3 linked regions of the Stegostoma tigrinum genome follow. The protein of the gene in region 3 purifies or fractionates together with the protein of the main gene of each other region. This does not show direct contact. Links are inferred from orthologs where the notes say so. Each region holds a gene or a part of one and is shown on either strand. Other genes may lie near its edges.

Region 1 (7,464 bases), on a different chromosome or scaffold from region 3:
GTGTGGGGTTGCAGGTGTAGAACTTCCTGCAGTTGCAGGGGAAGTACCTGGTATGGTGGTGTTGGAGAGGAGTGTGGAGCAGACAAGGGAGTCTCAGAGAGAGTGGTCCCTCCGGAAAGCAGACAAGGGAGAGGAGGGAAAAATGTCTTTGGTGTTGGGGTTGGATTGTAGATGGCAGAGGTGTCGGAGGATGACGCGTTGGATCTGGAGTTGGTAGGGTGGTAGGTGAGGACAAGGGGGATTCTGTTTTGGTGGTTATTGCGGGGATGGGGTGTGAGGGATGAGTTGCAGGAAATAGACAATAGGTGCTGGAGTAGCCATTTGACCCTTTGAGCCAGCACCACAAATGCGGGAGACACAGTCAAGGGCATTCTCGACCACTAACGGGGTGGGGGGGGGGGGGGGGGGGAGTGGTGTGGAGGGATGTGGCAGAGGTGAAGGAGTTGGGAATAGGGGATGGAATTTTTGCAGGAAGGTGGGTGGGAGGAGGTGTATTCTAGGTAGCTGTGGGAGTTGGTGGGCTTGAAACGGATATTGGTTTCTCGGTGGTTGCCTGAGATGGAGATAGAGAGGTCCAGGAATGTGAAGAAGGTGTTGGAGATGGTCCAGGTGAACTTGAGGTTGGGGTGGAAGGTGTTGAACTGGATGAACTGTTCAAGTTCCTCGTGGGAGCACGAGGTGGCGTTGATACAGTCATCAATGTAACAGAGGAAGAGGTGGGGTTTAGGGCCAGTGTAGATACGGAAGAAGGATTGTTCCACGTAACCTACAAAGAGGCAGGCATAGCTTGAGCCCATGTGGGTACACCACCTCCCATCCACTTTGCTGCAAAAATTCCATCCCCGTTCCCAATTCCTTCGCCTCTGCCACATCTGCTCCCAGGATGAGGCATTCCACTCCCATACATCTCAGATGTCCTCATTTTTCAAGGACCACAAAACCGCTCCCCCCCCCCCCCCCAGTGGTAGAGAATGCCCTCAACCATGTCTCCCACATTTCCCACAACTCATCCCTCACAACCCATCCCCGCAACAACCACCAAAAGAGAATCCCCCTCATCCTCACGTACCACCCCACCAATCTCTGGATCCAACGCATCATCCTCTGACACTTCTGCCATCTGAAATCCGTCCCCACCGCCAAAGACGTTGTTCCCTCCCCACTCTTGTCTGCTTTCCAGAGGGACCACTCTCTCCGTGACTCCCTTGTCAGCTCCACACTCCCCTCCAACCCCACCATACCCGACACTTGCTCCTGCAACTGCAGGAAGTGTAACACCTGCCCCCATACTTCCTCCCTCACTCCCATCCCAGACCTCAAGAGGACTTTCCACTTCAATCAGATGTTCACCTGCACTTCTGCCAGTGTGGTATACTGCATCCGCTGTACCCATTGTGGCCTCCTCTACATTGGGGAAGCCAAGCGGAGGCTTGGTGACTGCTTTGCAGAACACTACACTCAGCTCGCAATAAACAACTGCACCTCCCAGTCGCGAACGATTTCAATCCCTCCTTCCATTCCTTAGATGACATGTCCATCCAGGGCCTCCTGCAGTGCCACAACGATGCCACCCAAAGGTTGTAGGAACAGCAACTCGTAATCCGCTTCAGAATCCTGCCGCACAATGCTATCAATGTGGACTTCACAAGCTTCAAAATCTACCCCTCCCCCCACCCCCGCATCCCAAAACCAGCCCAGCTCGTCCTCGCCTCCCTAACCTGTTCTTCCTCTCACCTATTCCCTCCTCCCACCTCAAGGTGCACCCCCATTTCCTACCTACTCACCTCATCCCGCCCCCTTGACCTGTAAGTCCTCCACGGACTGACCTATCCCCTCCCTACCTACACTCACCTTTACTGGCTCCATCCCCGTCTCTTTAACTTGTCTCTCTCCTCTCCACCTATCTTCTCCTCTATCCATCTTCAGTCTGCCTTCCCCTTTCTCCCTATTTATTTCAGAACCCTCTTCCCCTTCCCTTTATCTGATGAAGGGTCTAGGCCCGAAACCTCAGCTTTTGTGTTCCTAAGATGCTGCTCGGCCTGCTGTGTTCATCCAGCTCCACGCTTCGTTATCTCGGATTCTCCAGCATCTGCAATTCCCATTATCTCAAAGTGGAAGAAATCTGGTTTATGCACTCAGAGACAGCAAGAACTGCAGATGCTTGAGTCAGAGACAACACAGCATGGAGCTAGAGGAACACAGCAGGCCAAGGCAGCAGTAGAGGAACGGGAAAGTTGACATTTTGGATTGTGACCCTTCTTCAGATGCTTCCTGGCCTGTTGTTCCTCCAGCTCCACACTACTGTCTCTGGTTTATGCAATTCCTATTTTCTTCAAGAATGTTGTACGTGTGAACGATGATACAAGATGTAAGTAGAAACCAAAAATGAGTTTGACAATTTAAAAATAACAGAAACAAAACTTTAAATCTACAGACATAACGCTGGCTAAATTCCAAAGCTATTGTTACATTTCTCGTGTATGTTCTAATATTTCTGTCTTTTGAGCAGCAATCTAATTCCCAAATTAACGTACTTCTTGACTTTGGTTTCACAAGTTCCCTTTTTTTTCTAAACTATCCATTAATTATTTTAGTTTATCTTTTTTGTTCATTAATAAGTAATGATTGTCTCTCGATCAATTTTAACTTCTCAGAATTGAAGTATCCAAGAGGCTTTTTCAACCTGTTGGCACTATTGGAAAAGCTCAAACCTTTCAATATGTCTTCAGAACATTCAAACAAATCTGCACTGAGATGACAAAACTACACAATGCTCTGACTTCACCCTAATTGAGATCTTGTGAAATTATCTACTTCATTTTAAATTTTATGCCTTCAGGTTTAATGCCAAGCGCTCTGTTATTTCTTTCATTACATTCACATTTAAAGTGTGCCAGTGAGCTGTCTACCTGCTCCATTAAACGTTAAAATTTAAACTGTACATTTTCCTAATTCATACTTCCAAAATTTATTCAGAGATAGTAGGAACTGCAGAACCTGGAGAAGCTGAGATAACAAGGTGCAGAGATGGATGAACACAGCAGGCCAAGCAGCATCAGGGGAGCAGGAAGGTTGAAGTGGTATTTCTGAAGAAAGCTCTAGGTCCGAAACATCAGCCTTCCTGCTGCTCTGAAGCTGCTTGGCCTGCTGTGTTCATCCAGCTCTACACCTTGTTATTACAAAATATATTCCTGATTTTTGTTTTGAGCTGCCATCTGTATACTTACTAAGCTCATGTGACTTCTTTCAATTTTCGTAGGCTTTCAGTTGTAGTTTGGCTGATAGTGCATTCACCTCTGAACCGCCTGTTTCAGGTTCAAGTCCCAATTCTCAGAGACTTGAGTACGGAAATCAAAGCCAACACCCGACTGCAGTACAATTCCAAAGCACCATTGGCTGTGCTGGCTTTTGGATAAGATGTTAAATTGAGGTGCACTCTGGCTGTTTGGATGATCTCAGTACAGTATTTTAAAGAATAGCAAGAGAGTTATTCCTGGCATTCTGCCTAATGTTTATACCTCAGTTACTCTGGTTACACAGGAAAACAAACCTTCCTCAACTGCCTTCGCCAAGTTTTGACAGTGTGATAAAGGGGTCTGAAAGGGTTACAACTGTAGGTGTGGTGACATTTTGTTCTGTATGCATTTACATGCCACCAATAACGAAAGCAGATCTTTATTTTGCTGTTTGTGACAGCTTGCTTGCGGCTTGAAAATTGGATGTGGTGTTTACCTGCATCACAACTGTGACTGAACATTTAATTCCTTTTGTATGGGACATCCTGACGCCAGGAAAGGCGTCGCAGAGTGTTCTCCTTTCATCTGTGGGTGTTGAATCTGCCTGTTTAAGAAGTTTTCAGATAAAGTAGACGATCTTTGTGAGGAACCCTCGCTTATGTAAACCCTGGTGAGCGACATTTTTCCATTTTTTAAAAAAAGTTGCTGTATTAGACAGGACAGAATTAAGCAATGATCAAGTTATACTTAAGAGCCGCATTAGTTTTCTTGATTCGGAGATAATGGGAACTGCAGATGCTGGAGAATCCAGTATAACAAAGTGTGGAGCCCAGACCCTTTGATGGGACATCCTCTCTGATGAAGGGTCTAGGCCCGAAACGTCAGCTTTTGTGCTCCTGAGATGCTGCTTGGCCTGCTGTGTTCATCCAGCTCCACACTTTGTTATCTTAGTTTTCTTGATTTGCCGTCTTGTGTTTTTTTGAGGTAGCGGAGACCATCCTGTAGCACAGCTTCTTCTCCCCCAAAAGTCACATCTGGTGACCTTCAAAGTGAGAGCAGCCGCCGTACATTAGGATGGAGCGCGCCTTTCAGAGCCACGTCCAATAGATAGCAGAAGGCGTGATCGAGGTTTGTTATTTTCCCCGCCGCGGCGGTCGACAGGTCGTGCCTGGGGAGGTCACGTGGCGCGGGTGCTCTGTGACAGCGCGATGGTTGGGGGTGGCCTGGTGCTGGCGGCAGACAGTGCGCAAGCGCGACTCCGACTCCATCCTCCCAACATGGCGCAGGTGCAGGCTCGCTTTTACACCGAGGATCGGAGGTGAGTCCGGAGCCCGGCATTAACCGGGGCCTCCCGAGTGCCGTCTAACGGCCCGGCGGGACCGAGCCCTATCCACGGTGCTGCTCCATTCCCTCCACCCACGCCCCAGTTCAGTAAAACCGGTCTTTACAGGCTCTTTCTCTTCTCCCACGTTTTGGTTTTGCGAGGTTCAACCGAACGGGGCATTACAGCGCGGGCAGCAACATCAGATGTTGCTGGAGAGAAAAAAAAACCGCAGCATGTCCGGCAGCATCTGTGGAGAGGATTCACTGTGAAGAGGAACACTGTGGAGTGTTTCAGGAGAGGCTACCGGCCCCGACCCCTCTCTGAAGAGTCTAGGCCCGAAACGTCAGCTTTTGTGCTCTTGAGATGCTCCTTGGCCTTCTGTGTTCATCCAGCTCCACACTTTGTTATCATGGATTCTCCAGCATCTGCAGTTCCCACTGTCTCCGACCCAACTCTCAACCCGGTCTCACTGCCAGGTGTGAAAGATGAGGCACAGATGGGCAGAGGGGTTGGTCTGAATAGCGCACCCCCTCCCCTCCGGGCCCCGCACCTTGAACGAGTTGTTTTGAAATAATTGTATCAGAGATAATGGGAACTGCAGATGCTGGAGAATCCGAGATAACAAAGTGTGGAGCTGGATGAACACAGCAGGCCAAGCAGCATCTCAGGACCACAAAAGCTGACGTTTCAGGCCTAGACCCTTCATCAGAAAAGGGGGAGGGAAAGGGGATTCTGAAACAAATAGGGAGAGAGGGAGCCGACACACTACACTTTGAGCCGTCATCCGAGGATCTCTGATCCGTTGCTAGATCTCCCGCGACCTTGTTTAAAAACCCGAGCGCACGGTAAACTATTACCTTGAATGATGCCTGTAATGCATGTAGTCTTTTACTACTTAATCACAGTTATCACCCACATTCCCTTCTTGATGAACTCTTTGACTCAAAATTCTGGGAAGGTGCCAGTTGGAAGTTGAATACTATGACATGACATGGGATGGGATGGGGTGGCAATTGTAAAGTGTCAGAGAGGAAAGAGCAGAACCAATAACTTGCTTATTAGCATTAACTTAACTGTTCTCCTATTACTAACTTCTTCATGTTAACTTTGTCATTTTAATCTCCACGGACAGATTTTCTCCTTGCAGCCTCTTCTCCCTTATTTACTCTTTACTCTCCACAGCTTCACCTTTACATTTCTGTAAGGTTGTTTAATGTTGCTGCTATTCAGTTTAAGGATATTTTCTGATGTGCATTAGTGTAAGTAAAGACTGTTGAGAGCTAAGGCAATTCATCCCTCACCAGCATAGGTTTAAATTGAATAAGTTCAGTGCTGCCTTGAGAAAATTCCATAATGGAAAGCATTAAGAACAAGTCATAGAATTCCTATAGTGTGGAAGCAGGCCATTTGGCCCATCAAGTTCACACTGATTGTCCAAAGAGCAACCCAACCTCCCTACGCTTTCCCATTAACCCTGTATTTCCCATAGCTAATTCATCTACACACCCCAGGACACTAATGTGGAAATTTAGCATGGATAGTCCACCTCACCTGCATATCTTCAGATGATGGGAGGAAACCAGAGCTCCCAGAGGAAAATCAAACAGACATAACATGCAGACTTCACACACAGTTGCCAGAGGGTGGAATTGAATCCACGTCCCTGGTGCTGTGAGGCTGCAGTGCTAGCCACTGTGCAGGACCTATGTTTGACTTATAATCTAAATTACTTCACAGCACATGCTGCTACCGGACTGTGTGATCAGCGTCATGAATTCTGCCCAATTTTCATATCAGTCTGCAGTCCTTCTGAAATGAGGTCATTTATCAATTAAAACATTTGAAAAGAAATCGTAAAATTAAGACTGTTAATAGTGGGATTCCGTCATTGTATGTGACCTTATTAAATTTTTCCGCTATAATAATCTTGGAAGTGTGATCATTAAAACTTTTGAGAACGTAAAAAGTAGGAGCATGAGTAGACCACGTGCATCACTCAGCCTGCTCGACCATTCAGTACAATTATAGCTGACCTTCAGTTTCAATACCATCCACCCACTGCAGTGCATATTTATTCCGTGATTCCCTGACACCAGGAATCTGTCATCATCTCAAGCTAAACTGTACATAACAATGGAGTATTTCCTACTTTTTGAATGAAGAATTCCAAGAATTTATTACCCTTTGAGTGAAGGACCTTCTCACCTAAGATCTAGATGATTGACCTGTGATTCCCAACCCCCTGCCACACTAATTTAACCCATTCCGAGTGACAGTAGCAAATCTCCCTGCTAGGACATTGATGTTCAGTCGATGTCCAGTTAGAATGCAACCTGTCCACCTTGTACAGGTACCTCCTACCTTGGGAGAAATCCCAATGATCCAGATATCTGATGAATACTCCAACACCATCTCTTTTGCCATGCATTCAACTGGCCTCACTAACACGTGAAACAGGGAGTAATCTTGAGATTACAAACCTAGAGACCCTGTTTTGCAATTTTCTACCTAACTCCCTAAATTCCCTTTCAGGACCTCGTACCTGTTTCTGTCTATGAGGTTAGGTTGAATAGGAGCCATGATCTCTGACTGCTTACCCTCCCCTTTCACAGTATCACATGTCTGCTTGGAGACATCCTTGATCTTGGCATCAGGAGGACAACACACCATCCTGGAACCTTGCTTATGATGACAGAAATATCTACCTGTGTTCCAATATAAAGTTAAATGATGCCACATTTACTTATTTCCCTTTGTCTACCTGACTATTTAGGACTTCCACATGGTGCTGGTGATTCTTAACATGTCGAACCTCTTCTCAGTTGAGATCATTTCAAATTAATACAGTAGTAAAATACAGCAGATGTAGAATATCAAGTGTACTTCTGTTAAATCCCTCTTCTG
Region 2 (7,210 bases), on a different chromosome or scaffold from region 3:
TTCTTGATTACTTCCTCCAGAACTAAAGTCCCTGAACACTAGAAACACTCATTTTCACTCCTTGAATTGTGATATCTTAGCAATTCTTGGCCGATGGCAGTGAGGTTTTAAATTTATTTCCAAAATATGGGCATCACTGACAAGTTTAGCCCTTTTTACCGAGATGTACCAGGTGGGTGATTAGGACTTGGAATAGTAGTAGAGCTGTATTACAACCTGACAGCTTAATTCACTGAGTCCCAATAAGAATCCAAACTCCATAACAATCAACTGTGTGGTGCTTCAAGGCATTTGTATTTTTAAAAAGGATTGGGAGCATCTAGTAGCCCTGGCTCATCCATCCTCTGAACCCAGCATGTTACTTTTGAAGTGGTTCCAGCCCCAGATCCAATACCACTGAGCCAAATGGGATAAGTTCAGAATAGATCAAACACCTCTAAGATGGACATTCAGGAGACATTGTGGGTCATTGGAGCACCAGAATTTATTCAACATTAATCTTGCTTGAAATATCCCTCCCTTTACTATCGAGCCAGGAGACAGTTAATTGTTCGATGAGGATTGTGGAATTAGGACCAAGTGTATCTAAAAATGAGATGCTAATTTAATGCAGCTACTACAGCACTGCATGCTAAACAGTAGCAGTGCCATCTTTATAGACAAAGGAAAGAGGTCATTATTTCTAATTCCTAGGTTGTTATTCCTAACAGAACAGATCAGATCAGATCAAAGTATTGCAGTTCTTTCATATCCAGTTATCAATAGTGGGGATCAACTAAACAACTAATTAACAAAAGATGCTCCATGAATACCCCCATCTTCCATGACAGGAGGGCTACCATTAATTGAAAATACCAGGCTAAAGCATTTGGAGCTATCTTCAGCCAGAAATGACATTGATAATCTATTTAAGCCTTCCTCCTGAGATCACAAGCTACATGGATACCAGTCTTCAGCCAATAAGATTCTCTACATCAAAAAAAACTAGATGAGGGGAATACAGCAAAGGGAAAGGTCCCTAAAAGCACTCTGTTAAACATTTGGCACAATACTTAGTGTATGGGAGTAAAGGAATATGATGGTGTTTTAAATTTAGTTTCACTGGAAACTGCATATGGATTTTGTTTCTCTAGAAATAAAGCTCATTAAATTATGATTCTGAATTGACGACAATTGTATCTAGCCCAGAAAGAGACTGTGGTCAGATGAGGTCTTGACAACTCTGGGAGAGCGAACGGTTGATGTAAACAACTAGACTACAAAGCTGCAGACTTTTCATGTAATGTTATCGCATTTAGGTGCTGCTGAAATACATGATACATTCATTAGTGTGTGGAAGTAGACTGAAATTTAATGTTAGCGAATTATTCATTGCTGAATAACAACTAAACTGACCAGTTATTATAACAGCTAAATATAAAGTAAATCTTTTCAACTCAATGTTTCTCAACATTTATAACTCTAGTTTTATAAAAGTGTTCCATAAATCAATTGTTGAAAGACTACAGAGGCATGATAAAAGTCCATTCAGCTGTCCAGCCTAAGAAAAAAGTATAAGGCAAGAGACCCTAGTGGAGTAGTGAGAAAAAGTCCTGAGGTTCACTAATGCTAACATTTTTGGATAAGTTGCCAAGTGTTGATGACATGAAAAACAAAGAAGAGAAAGGGCTGCTTGCACATGCCCATTTAGACCAGTACTTGTTGCTGATTTGATTTGATTTATTGTCACGTGTACCTATGTATTGTGAAAAGCTTTGTCTGTTAGCAATACAGGTAGGTCATAGAAAGCAAGGACATTCACATCATAGGGTGAAAAAAACTTGGACGTCATGAGGCCATAAACATTTTAGCGCATAGGATGTGCGCAAGGCAAGATCAGCATTAACAAAATCAACATTATTTGAAGTTAGAAAGTCTGTTCATCAGTCTAATATGGCAGGGAAGAAGCTGTTCTTGAACCTTCTGGTGCATGTGTTCAAGCTTCTGTATCTTCTGCCTGACCAAAGGTTCTTGTAGGAGAGCATCCCACTGGAGTGGGATGGATCTTTGTTGGCAGCCTTTCCGTGGCAACAAGAGGTATAAATGGAGTCCATGGATGGGAGAGATAATGAGAACTGCAGATGCTGGAGAATCCATGGATAACAAAGTGTCAAGCTGGATGAACACAGCAGGCCAAGCAGCATCTCAGGAGCACAAAAACTGACGTTTCAGAGGGCAGAATCCTCTCCCCATCCCCATCTCTGATGAAGAGTCTAGGCCCGAAACATCAGCTTTTGTGCTCCTGAGATGCTGCTTGGCCTGCTGTGTTCATCCAGCTTCACACTTTGTTATCCATGGATGGAAGGTTGGCTTCCGTTATGCTCTGGGCTGTGCACACGACTTTCTGTAGTTTCTTATAGTCCTGGCAGAAACAGTTGCTATAGCAGGCCATTATGCACCTGGTGCATCTGTAACAGTTGGTGAGGGACCTGATGGACATTCCAAATTTCCTGAGCTGCCTGAGGAGGAACAGGTGTTAATCTATTTGGAAGTCCAGGATAGGTTGTTGGTTATCGCCATACCTAGGAACTTGACACTCTTAACACTCTTGACCTCAGTTCCATTGATGTAGATGGGGATGTGTTCTTTCTTTCTGAAGTTAACATCAGTTCTTTGCTCGCCATGGTTGTATGTTTTTACTGTGCAACTAGATTGCTATTTTCTGTCATAAAATCTGATTAACTTCAACATATGTAGGAACAGGAGTAGAGCCATCAGCCTGTCAAACCCTCACCACCATTTAATACAATCATGGCTGACTGAAAACTTCAATGCCTTCTACCCAAAATAACCCCATAACCCCGTTCTGTGTTGGTAATCAGAAATCTGACAACTTTTACATCAAAAATACTCAACGACTGAGCTTTTATAGCACTTCGGTCCAATCACAACCCCTCAGATAATGATGCAACGTGTGCCCCGGACAGTAAGACCTACATAACAAAAGCTTTGTTTGATATGTCTGGCAAGTAACACTTTCACATCAAGCGTCAGGTAATGACCACCTCTGATAACAATATTTTGTTTATAGAGCAGCTTTAATGTAATAAGGTATCCCAAGGCATTTTTTTTTAGAGTATTGTGAAACTGATCTGGGATGACAGTGTGGAGCTGGAGGAACACAGCAGGCGAGGTAGCACCAGAGGAGCAGGAAAACTGATGTTTCAGGTCAGGACCCCTCTTCAAACTTTCTGAAGAAGGGTCCAGACCCGAAACATCAGCTTTCCTGCCCTTCTGATACTGCCCCGCTTGCTGTGTTCCTTCAGCTCCTCACTGTGTTATCTCTGTCTCCAGCATCGGCAGTTTTTTTAATATATGTTTTATATACATAGATATAAAATATTATATATTTTATATCTATGTCTATAGCTATATGTGTGTATATACATTCCATGGTGTGGAAACAGGCCAGCTACAACAACACTCAACATAGGTTCATAAGTAGGCCATTCAGCCTTTCAAGTCTGCTGCACCATTTAATATGATCATTGTTGATCGAAAACTTCAATGCCTTTTACCCAAATAATCCCACGATCTTTTACATCATCGGTACCCTGCAATCTATCAACATCTGGTTTAAAAATACCCAACTACTGAGTCTCCACAGCCCTCTGATCCCAGTTTCCAAAGATTCACAATCATCCAAGTAAAATAATTTCTCCTTGTCTTTGTCCTTAATGGAAATACCTTGTTTTCTAAATTGCACCCCTGGCTTTTGACTCTCCAACCAGGGAAAACGTTTCTTAGACAACAAAGTGTGAAGCTGGATGAACACAGCAGGCCAAGCAGCATCTCAGGAGCTTGGCCTGCTGTGTTCATCCAGCTTCACACTTTGTTGTCTTGGATTCTCCAGCATCTGCAGTTCCCATTATTTCTGAAAACGTTTCTTATGCCCTATCTATCCTTTAAAGTAGTTTACAAGTTTCAGAGATTGTGTCTCATTCTTGAAAACTCTGGTGAATATAAGCGCAGTTTGCCCTATTTCTCTTTATAGAACAGTATTGCCATCCAGGGAGAAGTCTGCTGAACATTTGCGGCACTCCCTCTGGCAGCATAAGGCTCGAAATGTATTTGGTAATGTCCTCGTCCATGCAATTGTGCCTTCACTCTCGTTGCCCGGAACGATTGTTGGGCGGACTGTTTGTTCCAGCCGCCGCTTCTGCTGCGGACGGGTTTTGCCGACGAACGTTGTGCTCCCGCAGGCTGAAGTTTCCTCACACGTGCCGGTTTCTGATCGGTTTGTCGGGATCCCATGGCTGCTTTCGACTTAATCAGGACGATTGGAGAGGAGGACGAGGTTCCGGAGGAGGAGACGGGCTCTGAGGGAGAGGTGAGGCCGGGCCTTGATGTCGGTTACTGTGACTTCGGCTGCGGCGGTCACTGTGGAACGCAGCAAGATCCCAACAAGGCTTCTGAAGTGCAGTCAGACCAGACTGGAAACGTTCATTCTCTCCTCACAAAGGCTGGCAGACCTGACGTGTTTCTCCAGCACTTTGTTTACTTTTTTTAAAATTTAAAATCCCACTAAACCGGGTAATGGGACATTCTGGGTTCAAATCCCACCCCTTTGCTTGAGCCCTGCACGAAATCGAGACCGATGGAGGGCCGCGTTGTCTTTCCGACAGACCCACCCCCACCTGGCTGCTTAGGTCAGCGTGACCAACTGTTTGGACGTTTACACATACTTGAGGCAGGTGTACCAGGCGGTTTGCTGCTCTCCCTTCATTTTTGACCTTCCTTTCTCAATCAAACGCTATGTCCCCCTCCTGCCTGTAATACTCTTTGATAAGAAAGCAGCCGCCCCCCCATCCCCCGGCTGTATGGTGCATTCTGCCAAAGTATCCCTTAAATTTCTCCCAGAGTTACGTAAGGTGTAGGAGCAGAAATAGACCATTCAACTCGTCGAGTCTGCTCCACCATTCAGTGAGATCATGGGTGATCTGATGATACTACCCTCGCAGAAAGAAATTCCTCCTCATTTCTGCCTTAAATGCCCAACTTCTTAATTTGAGATTGGTCCCAGTCGGCTGCAGTGGGTGCAAAAGATGTCATGATACAACTTCAAAAAAGAGCAGAGGAGTTTTCGCTAATGTTCTGACCAACAATCTCCCCTCATCAGCACAAAAAAATTGTTCATTACTGCAGTGAAGTTAGTTTATAGTGTCCAAATTGGCTGCTACATTAGAACGGTGGCTAAGCTTTTGAAAAGTATTTTACTTTGAGACGTCTGGTCACTATGAGAATTGTAATAAAAGTTCAATGACTCCTTGTTTAAAAATATAGCTTTTTATTTGAAGCAGAATGCCCCAGAGATAAGGGCTGAGACAGTTAAAGGTTCTGTGACAAGGCAAAAAGTGTAAAAGGCCAGGGTCAAAGGTTTGAAGAATATAGGTCATTTGTTACTATGCACAAGAGAGATGAAATACTGTACTAAAGCAAGTCTGTTCATTTGTCTGCAGTAAATATCATCCATCAGATGTGAATTCATTCACTCAATCTAATCTGATTGGTTTTCCCCATACAAGGCTTTTAACTAATACAACTGTTTCATCTCGAAATGTACAGTTTATATGTGCTTTAATTTACATTATTAATGTAGATAGTGGAGAACAACAGACACTCTCAAAAATCGCTCAGTTCAAGACGATATAACCTAAACTCTGAGATTTGCTCTATAGGCTATCATGTAGTACCTCATGTGAGTATTTGAAAATGAATCTTTTCCAGAACCCGTGTTAAAGTCTCGTCAGAACCTCTTTTCTGTTGAACTTGTAATAGAGTGTGTCTCTTAAAATTGCTTCTAGAAATTTGCTTGTGAGGAAATGAAGAATATTGGGGTTGCGCAACAGCTGAAAATTCTCAGCAAGCATTGAGGTAGTGGATTAAAAGGATTTGATATGAGTTACAACACAGCAGAGTTTTGGATGAGCTGACATTTATCAAGGGTGCAACGCAGCAGCCTAGCCAGGGTAGCATTTGAGTTAGTCACGTCTTTTGACAGCAGAAGATATGCTGAGGTGGGAGTGGAAGGGTATTTCACGAGAAGCTCAGCTCGAGGTAAAATAGGATGCTTAGTTCTGAACAGTGTGGTTCAATCTTGGACAGTATCTATGGAGAGGGATTGAATCGGCTAGGGAATTGAGGTTTGATGTGTGGACTGTAGAAAGTATTGTTGGTCTTCCAAACATTTAATTGGAAGGTATTTCTGATCATCGGGTCCTGTCTGTCAGACATGCAGTATGACCATTCGAAGGCAGTGGAGGGTTGAGCAGTGTGTGTTGATACGTAGCTGGTTGTTGAATGTTTTCAGGTGAAATCGCTGAGGGGCAGCCTGCAGATGAGAAATGGTGATGCACTGAGAACAGATGATTGGGTAAGTCCAGAAGTCAAAATGCAGGAGTGAGAAGAAGAACAATCACAGACAATTTTCCAGTAAGAGTAGAAGCAGATGAGTACAGTGCCAGGCTATCAGAACAACAGAGGATAGTGTGGTCAATCATCTCAGACTGCTGACAGGTCTAGAAAGACGAGGAAGGATAGATTACCACAGTCAATTTAGAGTGACCTGTTTGACTTCAGGTGTTATCATAGAATCCCTACGGTGTGGAAACAGGCCATTTGGCCCAACAAGTCCACATTGACCCTCTGAAGAGCATCCCACCTAGACTCATCCCTTTACACTTGCCCTGTTACCCTGCATTTCCCAAGGCTAACACACCTAACCTGCACATCCCTGAACACTATGGGCAATTTAGCAAGGCCCATTCACAGCTTGGGATAGTGGCAGGAAACCAGAGCACCCGGAGGAAACACACGCAGACACGGGGAGAATGTGCCAACTCCACGCAGATAGTCACCTGAGGGTGGAATTGAACCCTGGTCACTGGTGCTGTGAGTCAGCAGTGCTAACGACTGTGCCACCGTGGGAGAAGAGGTACGTTTCCAAATTATGGCAAATTTTGGAACAACTTGAGGATTTTTCAGCCGAGTGAGTGTTTGAAAATGGAACAGTGGTTAGCATTAAATAAAAACTGTAAGAACTGCAGATGCTGTAAATCAGAGACAAAAGTAGATATTGCTGGAAAAGCTTGGCAGGTCAGGCAGCATCTATGGAGAGAAATCAAAGTTAACATTAAGTGAGGGTCAGTTCCGAGAAAGGAGCGCTTCACCC
Region 3 (6,868 bases):
ACAAAAAGTCAGAGTTAACACTTCTGGTCCTGTGACCCTTCCTCGGTTTAGGTAACTCTCTTTCTCAGAGAAGAGAGCTCAGAAGAGCCAGGAGGAGACATGAGAAGTTGTTGACGGATAGGATCAGGGTAAACCCAAAGGCTTTCTATGGCTATTTAAGGAATAAAAGAATGACAAAAGTAAGATTAGGCCCAATCAAGGATAGTAGTGGTAAGTTGTGTGTGGAGTCAGATGAGATAGGGGAAGCGCTAAATGAATATTTTTCAACAGTATTCACTCTAGAAAACAACAATGTTGTTGAGGAGAATACTGAGATACAGGCTACTAGACTAGGTGGGATTGAGGTTCACAAGGAAGAGGTATTAGAAATCCTTCAGAGGGTGAAGACGGATAAGTCCCCTTGGCCGGATGGGATTTATCCTTGGATCCTCTGGGAAGCCAGGGAAGAGATTGCCGAGCCTTTGGCATTGATCTTTAACTCGGCATTGTCTACAGGAATAGTGCCAGATGACTGGAGGATAGCAAATGTGGTTCCCCTGTTCAAGAAGGGGAGTAGAGACAACCCTGGTAATTATAGACCAGTGAGCCTTACCTCAGTTGTTGGTAAAGTGTTGGAAAAGGTTATAAGGGATAGGATTTATAATCATCTAGAAGAGAGTAAATTGATTAGGGATAGTCAGCACGGTTTTGTGAACGGAAGGTCGTGCCTCACAAACCTTATTGAGTTCTTTGAGAAGGTGACCAAACAGGTAGATGAGAGTAAACTGGTTGATGTGGCGTACATGGATTTCAGCAAGGCGTTCGATAAGGTTCCCCACAATAGGCTATTGTACAAAATGTGGAGGAATGGAATTGGGGGAGACACAGCAGTTTGGATCGGAAATTGGCTTGCTGAAAGAAGACAGAGGGTGGTAGTTGATGGGAAATATTCATCCTGGAGACCAGTTACTCGTGGTGTACCGCAAGGGTCGGTGTTGGGTCCACTGCTGTTTGTCATTTTTATAAATGACCTGGATGAGGGCGTAGAAGGATGGGTTAGTAAATTTGCAGACGACACTAAGGTTGGTGGAGTTGTGGATAGTGACAAAGGATGCTGTAGGTTGCAGAGAAACATAGATAAGCTGCAGAGCTGGGCTGACAGGTGGCAAATGGAGTTTAATGCAGACAAGTGTGAGGTGATGCACTTTGGTAGGAGTAACCGGAAGGCAAAGTACAGGGCTAATGGTAAGATTCTTAGTAGTGTAGATGAGCAGAGAGATCTCGGTGTCCACGTACACAGATCCTTGAAAGTTGCAACCCAGGTTGACAGGGCTGTTAAGGTGGCATACAGTGTTTTAGCTTTTATTAATAGAGGGATCGAGTTCTGGAACCAAGAGGTTATGGTGAAGCTGTACAAAACTCTGGTGCGGCCGCACTTGCAGTATTGTGTACAGTTCTGACCACCACATTATAAGGAGGATGTGGAAGCTTTGGAAAGGGTGCAGAGGAGATTTACTAGGATGTTGCCTGGTATGGAGGGAAGGTCTTACGAGGAAAGGCTGAGAGACTTGAGGCTGTTTTCATGAGAGAGGTTGAGAGGTGACTTAATTGAAACATAAAATAATCAGAGGGTTAGATAGGGTGGATAAGGAGAGCCTTTTTCCTAGGATGGTGACAGCAAGCATGAGGGAGCATAGCTTTAAATTGAGGGGTGAAAGATACAGGTCAGATGTCAGAGGTAGTTTCTTCACTCAGAGTAGTAAGGGAATGGAACGCTTTGCCTGCAACAGTAGTAGATTCGCCAACTTTAGGTACATTTAAGTCATCATTGGATAAGCATATGGACGTACGTGGAATAGTGTAGGTTAGATGGGCTTGAGATCGGTATGACAGGTCGGTACAACATCGAGGGCCGAAGGGCCTGTACTGTGCTGTAATGTTCTATGAAATGTTAACTCTTTTTTTTCCTTCACAGATGCCACCAGACCTATTGAGCTTTTTCAGCAACTTGTTTTTGTTCCTGTTTTATAGCATCTGCAGTTCTTTCAGTTTTTAGTCTGATCCTTCCCAATTACCTTGACTCTATGTGCATAATTACGGCTGCTGTAATGTCTGATATTTGCACCTTCCCCACAACAAAGGTCAAGCTAATTGGCCTATCCTTTTTTTTTCTGCCACACGTCCTTCTTGAATAGTGGGATTATGTTTCCATCTTTCCAGTTCTGGTGTAGCATTTCCAGAATCTAGCAAATCTTGTAAAAAGAACATCAATGCATCTGTTACCTTGGTAGCTACTTCTTTTAAAGACCCTAAAATTGAGCTCATCAGGAAATATTTAACACAATTTTCTTGATAACATTCACCCTCATCTAAATGCATAACTTGCTGGACACATTTAAATAAACGTGATTTTACCTGAAATCTGCAAGACTAAGTTGCAACTTCTTCCTGGCTTTATTTCTAGTAATGTAGTTTGTAGCAGCTCCTCTTTCGTACTGGTGAAAAACAAAGCATTTTAGTTTTCAGCAAAAGAAAAATCTCAATTTTGAGCATCAGTGTAGCAGCTGCACTGTAGACAATATTTCAACTGGGGAAGGACAGAAGCTGTAAGAATGGCACAGCTACTGAGTACGAGGGAAGAGGGCACAGTGGGGGTGGGGTGGGGGGGGGAGGACATGGGTAGGGGTTACTGGTTACTAGGCAATACCGGGGGGGGGGGGGGGAACAGTTACTAGTTACCAGGCAATGGGAGGAGAGGGGCGGTTTATTAGACTAGCTTGCTGGGTCCAGGCCCGAGGCTGCCATCGTAAAAAGTCACATTCGTAATGCTGCCGAATCGCTCAAGACAAAGCGGACGGCAGAACTGTAAGAGATTTTTACATAATCATTCCCGGCCGGTTACCCTCTCCTCCCAAGCCCCGCACCTTCTTTTTCTCCAGTCCACCCATCTCCAACAACCCCTCCGCACATGGACAACTTTGAAAGACCCCCAGGACGTCGTCACAGAGTTGGCTATCCCACGCCGTACTAAATAGGCACAAGTTCCGCATTCAGAAATAACGTTGCAAATTTACATAATCAACTTTTTTTCATATAAAAATGAAACAATGTATTGAGAAGTCAGAGCTTTCAGGAATTAATTACAGGCATTTCATGGATGCCTGAGTATGTCCCATTGGGTGCATGCCCAGTTTCAGGGAGGGGGCGGAGTCTGTTTTTTTCTCTGTGGAGTATGTCATGTAGTTGAGATATTCAAAATGGTGCAGTAATTCATTAAAGCAGATGGACAGACCTTATTTTCTCTGGTGGGGAAATATATAATTTAATGGTTATTTAATGAACCCTGTGGGTAGCTTCTTCTGTCATAGGGGGTTTCTCAGGGCAGTGTCCTAGACGCAACCAAGTCCAGCTGCTTCACTAATGACCTTCCCTCCATCATAAAGTTAAAAGTTGAGATGTTCACCAATCGGTGCACAGTGTTCAGCGCCATTTGCGACTCCTTAGATGCTGAATGTTCAAATACAAGAAAATCTGGCCCTATCCAGATTTGGGCAAGTGACATTTGTGCCACACAAATGCAAGAAAATGACCATTGCCAATTAGAAATGATCCAACCCACCAACCTTTGATGGTATTGCTGCCACTAAATCCCCAACTATCAACATCCTGGGGGTTACTATTGACCAGAAACTCAACTGGATTGGCCACATAAACACATTGGGGCTCAAGAGCAGGTCAGAAGCTCAGAGTTCTGCGGCGAGTAACTCATCTCTTGACTCATCAATGTGTGTCTACTGTTTCCAAAAAGGTATTCTACCAATCAAACAATTGATCAGCAGAGTTGGGGTCATTGGTGTCACGCTAATGGAACTGTTATCAGGAGACAGTAGGAACTGCAGATGATGGAGAATCTGAGATAACAAGGTGTAGAGCTGGATGAACACAGCAGGCCAAGCAGCATCACAGGAGCAGGATTGGCTTGCTGTGTTTATCCAGCTCTACACCTTGTTATCTCTGAACTGTTGTCAGGATTTGGTGATATAAATTGTCCATATACCTGCTTGTCATACTTTCAGGGGTAAGGATGCTGATTTGTTACTGAAAATCCCTATTCTATCCCCGTACTCCCTTTTTAAAATATTTATTCATGGAATTAGATGTCATTGGCTGGGCTAGCATTTATTTCCCATCTCTAACTGCCCTGGAGAAGCTGGTGGTGAGCTGCAATCGTTGATGCATAGTGATACCTGTAATGATATTACAATGGAACAGTGAAAGAGTTCCCACGTCTTCACAGTGTGTTGCTTGGAAGGGAATTTGCAGGTGGTGCTGTTCCCACATATCTTGCTGCCCTTTTCCTTCCTGGTGATAGAGGTCATAGATTTGGAAGGTGCTATTGGGAAAGTATTGATAAGTTACTGCAGTGTATCTTGCAGGTGGCACATACTGCTGTGCATTAGGTGGTGAAGGGAGTGAATGTTGAAGGTGGGTTGGGCACTAGTATTGCAGGCTGCTACGTGCTGATTAGCATTAAGCTTCTTAAATTTGGTTGAAGCTGCACTCATCCAAAAAAGTGGAGAGTGTGCCATCACACTGTTGACTTGCGTCATACAGTTAGTAGACAGGCTTTGGAAAGGCAGGAGGTAAGTCGTTCATCATAGAATTCCTAACCACTGACCTCCCCTTGTAGATACAGTATTTATATGGCTGGGCTAATTCAGTTTCTGGTCAAGGGTAACCCTAAAAATGTTGATAGGAATTCAGTATTGGTAGTGTCATTGAACATCAGGAAGTGATGATCATTGCCTAGCACTTGTATGGCATAAGTGTTACTTTCCACTCATCAACCCAAGCCTAGATGTTGTCCAGGTGTTGCTGCACATGGACACAAACTGCTTCGATACCTGAGAAGTCACATTCGATATAATTTGTTGAGCGTTCTAAATTAACTCTCAACTGTTGTCTAGAATGACAAAGCAAACCACTCTATTCAAAAGTAATTGGGAACGCATATCAAGAGAGCAGACCCCCTTAAGGATCAAAGAGATTGTCTTTGTGTTGACCCTCAGGAGATGGGAGAGATAATAAATGAATATTTTGCATCTGTTTTTACTGTGGAGAAAGAAATGAAGCTGGAGAACTCAGGAAAATAAATGTTAATGTTTTGAAAACAGTTTACATTACAAAAGAGGAACTCTTGGAGGTCTTACAAAATATAAAGATGGATAAATCTCCAGGATCTTATCTAGTAAATCCTAGGACTTTTTGGGACATTAGAGAAGAAATTATTGGGCCCCTAGGAGAAATATTTGTATCATCTGTAACTGACTGGAAAGTGGTTAATGTTGTGCCTCTGCTGAAGAAAGGGTGTAAGGAGAAGCTTGGGAGCTGTAGACATGTAAGTCTGACCTTGTGGTGGAAAAGTTGTTGGAAGTGTTTCTGAAACAGCATTTGGAGAAGCAAGGAATGATTAGGAAAGTCAGCATGGTTTTGTACAAGGGAAATTGTGTCTCACAAACTTAATTGAGCTTTTTGAGCAAGTAACCAAAAAGATTGATGACGTCATAACTTTAGAAAAGCCTCTGACAAGGTTCCACATGGTAGACTAATTGCTAAAGTCAGATCACATGGGATTTAGGGTGAGCTTGCCAAATGGAGGCAAAATTGGCTGAACAACAGGAGACGGAGAGTGATGGTGGAGGGTTGTTTTTCAGACTGGTGACCTGTGATCAGTTATGTTCCACAGGGATCCGCACCGGGTTCACTTTTGTTTGACATTTACATATGAATATGTTATTTAAGTGCAAATACAGAAAGCATGTTTAGTCGGTTTGTGGATGAGACGGAAATTGGTGGTACAGTGGATAGTGAAGAAAGTTAGAGATAACAAGGTGCAGAGCTGGATGAACACAGCAGGCCAAGCAGCATCAGAGGAACAGGAAGGCTGACGTTTCAAGCCTAGACCCTTTTTCAGACCCTTCGGTCTATGCCCGAAACGTCAGCCTTCCTGCTCCTCTGATGCTGCTTGGCCTGCTGTGTTCATCCAGTTCTGCACCTTGTTATCTCAGATTCTCCAGCATCTGCAGTTCCTGCTATCAGTGTAGAAGGTTATCTAGGATTACAAACAGATCTTGGTCAATTAGGTCAATGTGCTGAAGAGTGGCAGATGGAGTTCAATTTGGGTAAATGCGAGGCTTTACATTTTGGAAAAACAAACAAAAACAAGAATTATACAATTAAAAGTAGGGCCTGAGGCACTGTCGTAGAACAGAGAGACCAAGGGAATAAAATGTGAGGCTGGATGAACACAGCAGGCCAAGCAGCATCTCAGGAGCACAAAAGCTGACGTTTCGGGCCTAGACCCTTCATCAGAGAGGGGGATGGGGGGAGGGAACTGGAATAAATAGGGAGAGAGGGGGAGGCGGACCGAAGATGGAGAGTAAAGAAGATAGGTGGAGAGGGTGTAGGTGGGGAGGTAGGGAGGTAGGGAGGGGTTAGGTCAGTCCAGGGAAGACGGACAGGTCAAGGAGGTGGGATGAGGTTAGTAGGTAGCTGGGGGTGCGGCTTGGGGTGGGAGGAAGGGATGGGTGAGAGGAAGAACCGGTTAGGGAGGCAGAGACAGGTTGGACTGGTTTTGGGATGCAGTGGGTGGGGGGGAAGAGCTGGGCTGGTTGTGTGGTGCAGTGGGGGGAGGGGATGAACTGGGCTGGTTTAGGGATGCAGTAGGGGAAGGGGAGATTTTGAAACTGGTGAAGTCCACATTGATACCATATGGCTGCAGGGTTCCCAGGCGGAATATGAGTTGCTGTTCCTGCAACCTTCGGGTGGCATCATTGTGGCAGTGCAGGAGGCCCATGATGGACATGTCATCAAGAGAATGGGAGGGGGA

What was found. Proteins that work in one complex are often made in the same cells at the same time.
Region 1: the proteins of pes (region 3) and wdr12 purify together in Homo sapiens (co-immunoprecipitation; 7 studies listed by BioGRID and IntAct, counting the BioPlex papers as one, with this or other methods). This does not show direct contact. The link is inferred for Stegostoma tigrinum from reciprocal best matches to the Homo sapiens genes PES1 and WDR12.
Region 2: the proteins of pes (region 3) and ddx27 purify together in Homo sapiens (affinity purification with mass spectrometry; 4 studies listed by BioGRID and IntAct, counting the BioPlex papers as one, with this or other methods). This does not show direct contact. The link is inferred for Stegostoma tigrinum from reciprocal best matches to the Homo sapiens genes PES1 and DDX27.

Annotation. Positions count from the first base shown.
Region 1 is NC_081360.1:26,349,462-26,356,925, forward strand, and holds the start of wdr12 (ribosome biogenesis protein wdr12), read left to right. Parts: upstream 1-4,438; 5' UTR 4,439-4,444; coding exon 4,445-4,554; intron 4,555-7,464.
Region 2 is NC_081372.1:55,194,234-55,201,443, forward strand, and holds the start of ddx27 (probable ATP-dependent RNA helicase DDX27), read left to right. Parts: upstream 1-4,184; 5' UTR 4,185-4,291; coding exon 4,292-4,369; intron 4,370-7,210. UniProt on the Homo sapiens protein: Probable ATP-dependent RNA helicase. Component of the nucleolar ribosomal RNA (rRNA) processing machinery that regulates 3' end formation of ribosomal 47S rRNA.
Region 3 is NC_081379.1:22,745,035-22,751,902, reverse strand, and holds the start of pes (pescadillo), read right to left. Parts: upstream 3,011-6,868; 5' UTR 2,928-3,010; coding exon 2,904-2,927; intron 2,475-2,903; coding exon 2,395-2,474; intron 1-2,394. UniProt on the Homo sapiens protein: Component of the PeBoW complex, which is required for maturation of 28S and 5.8S ribosomal RNAs and formation of the 60S ribosome.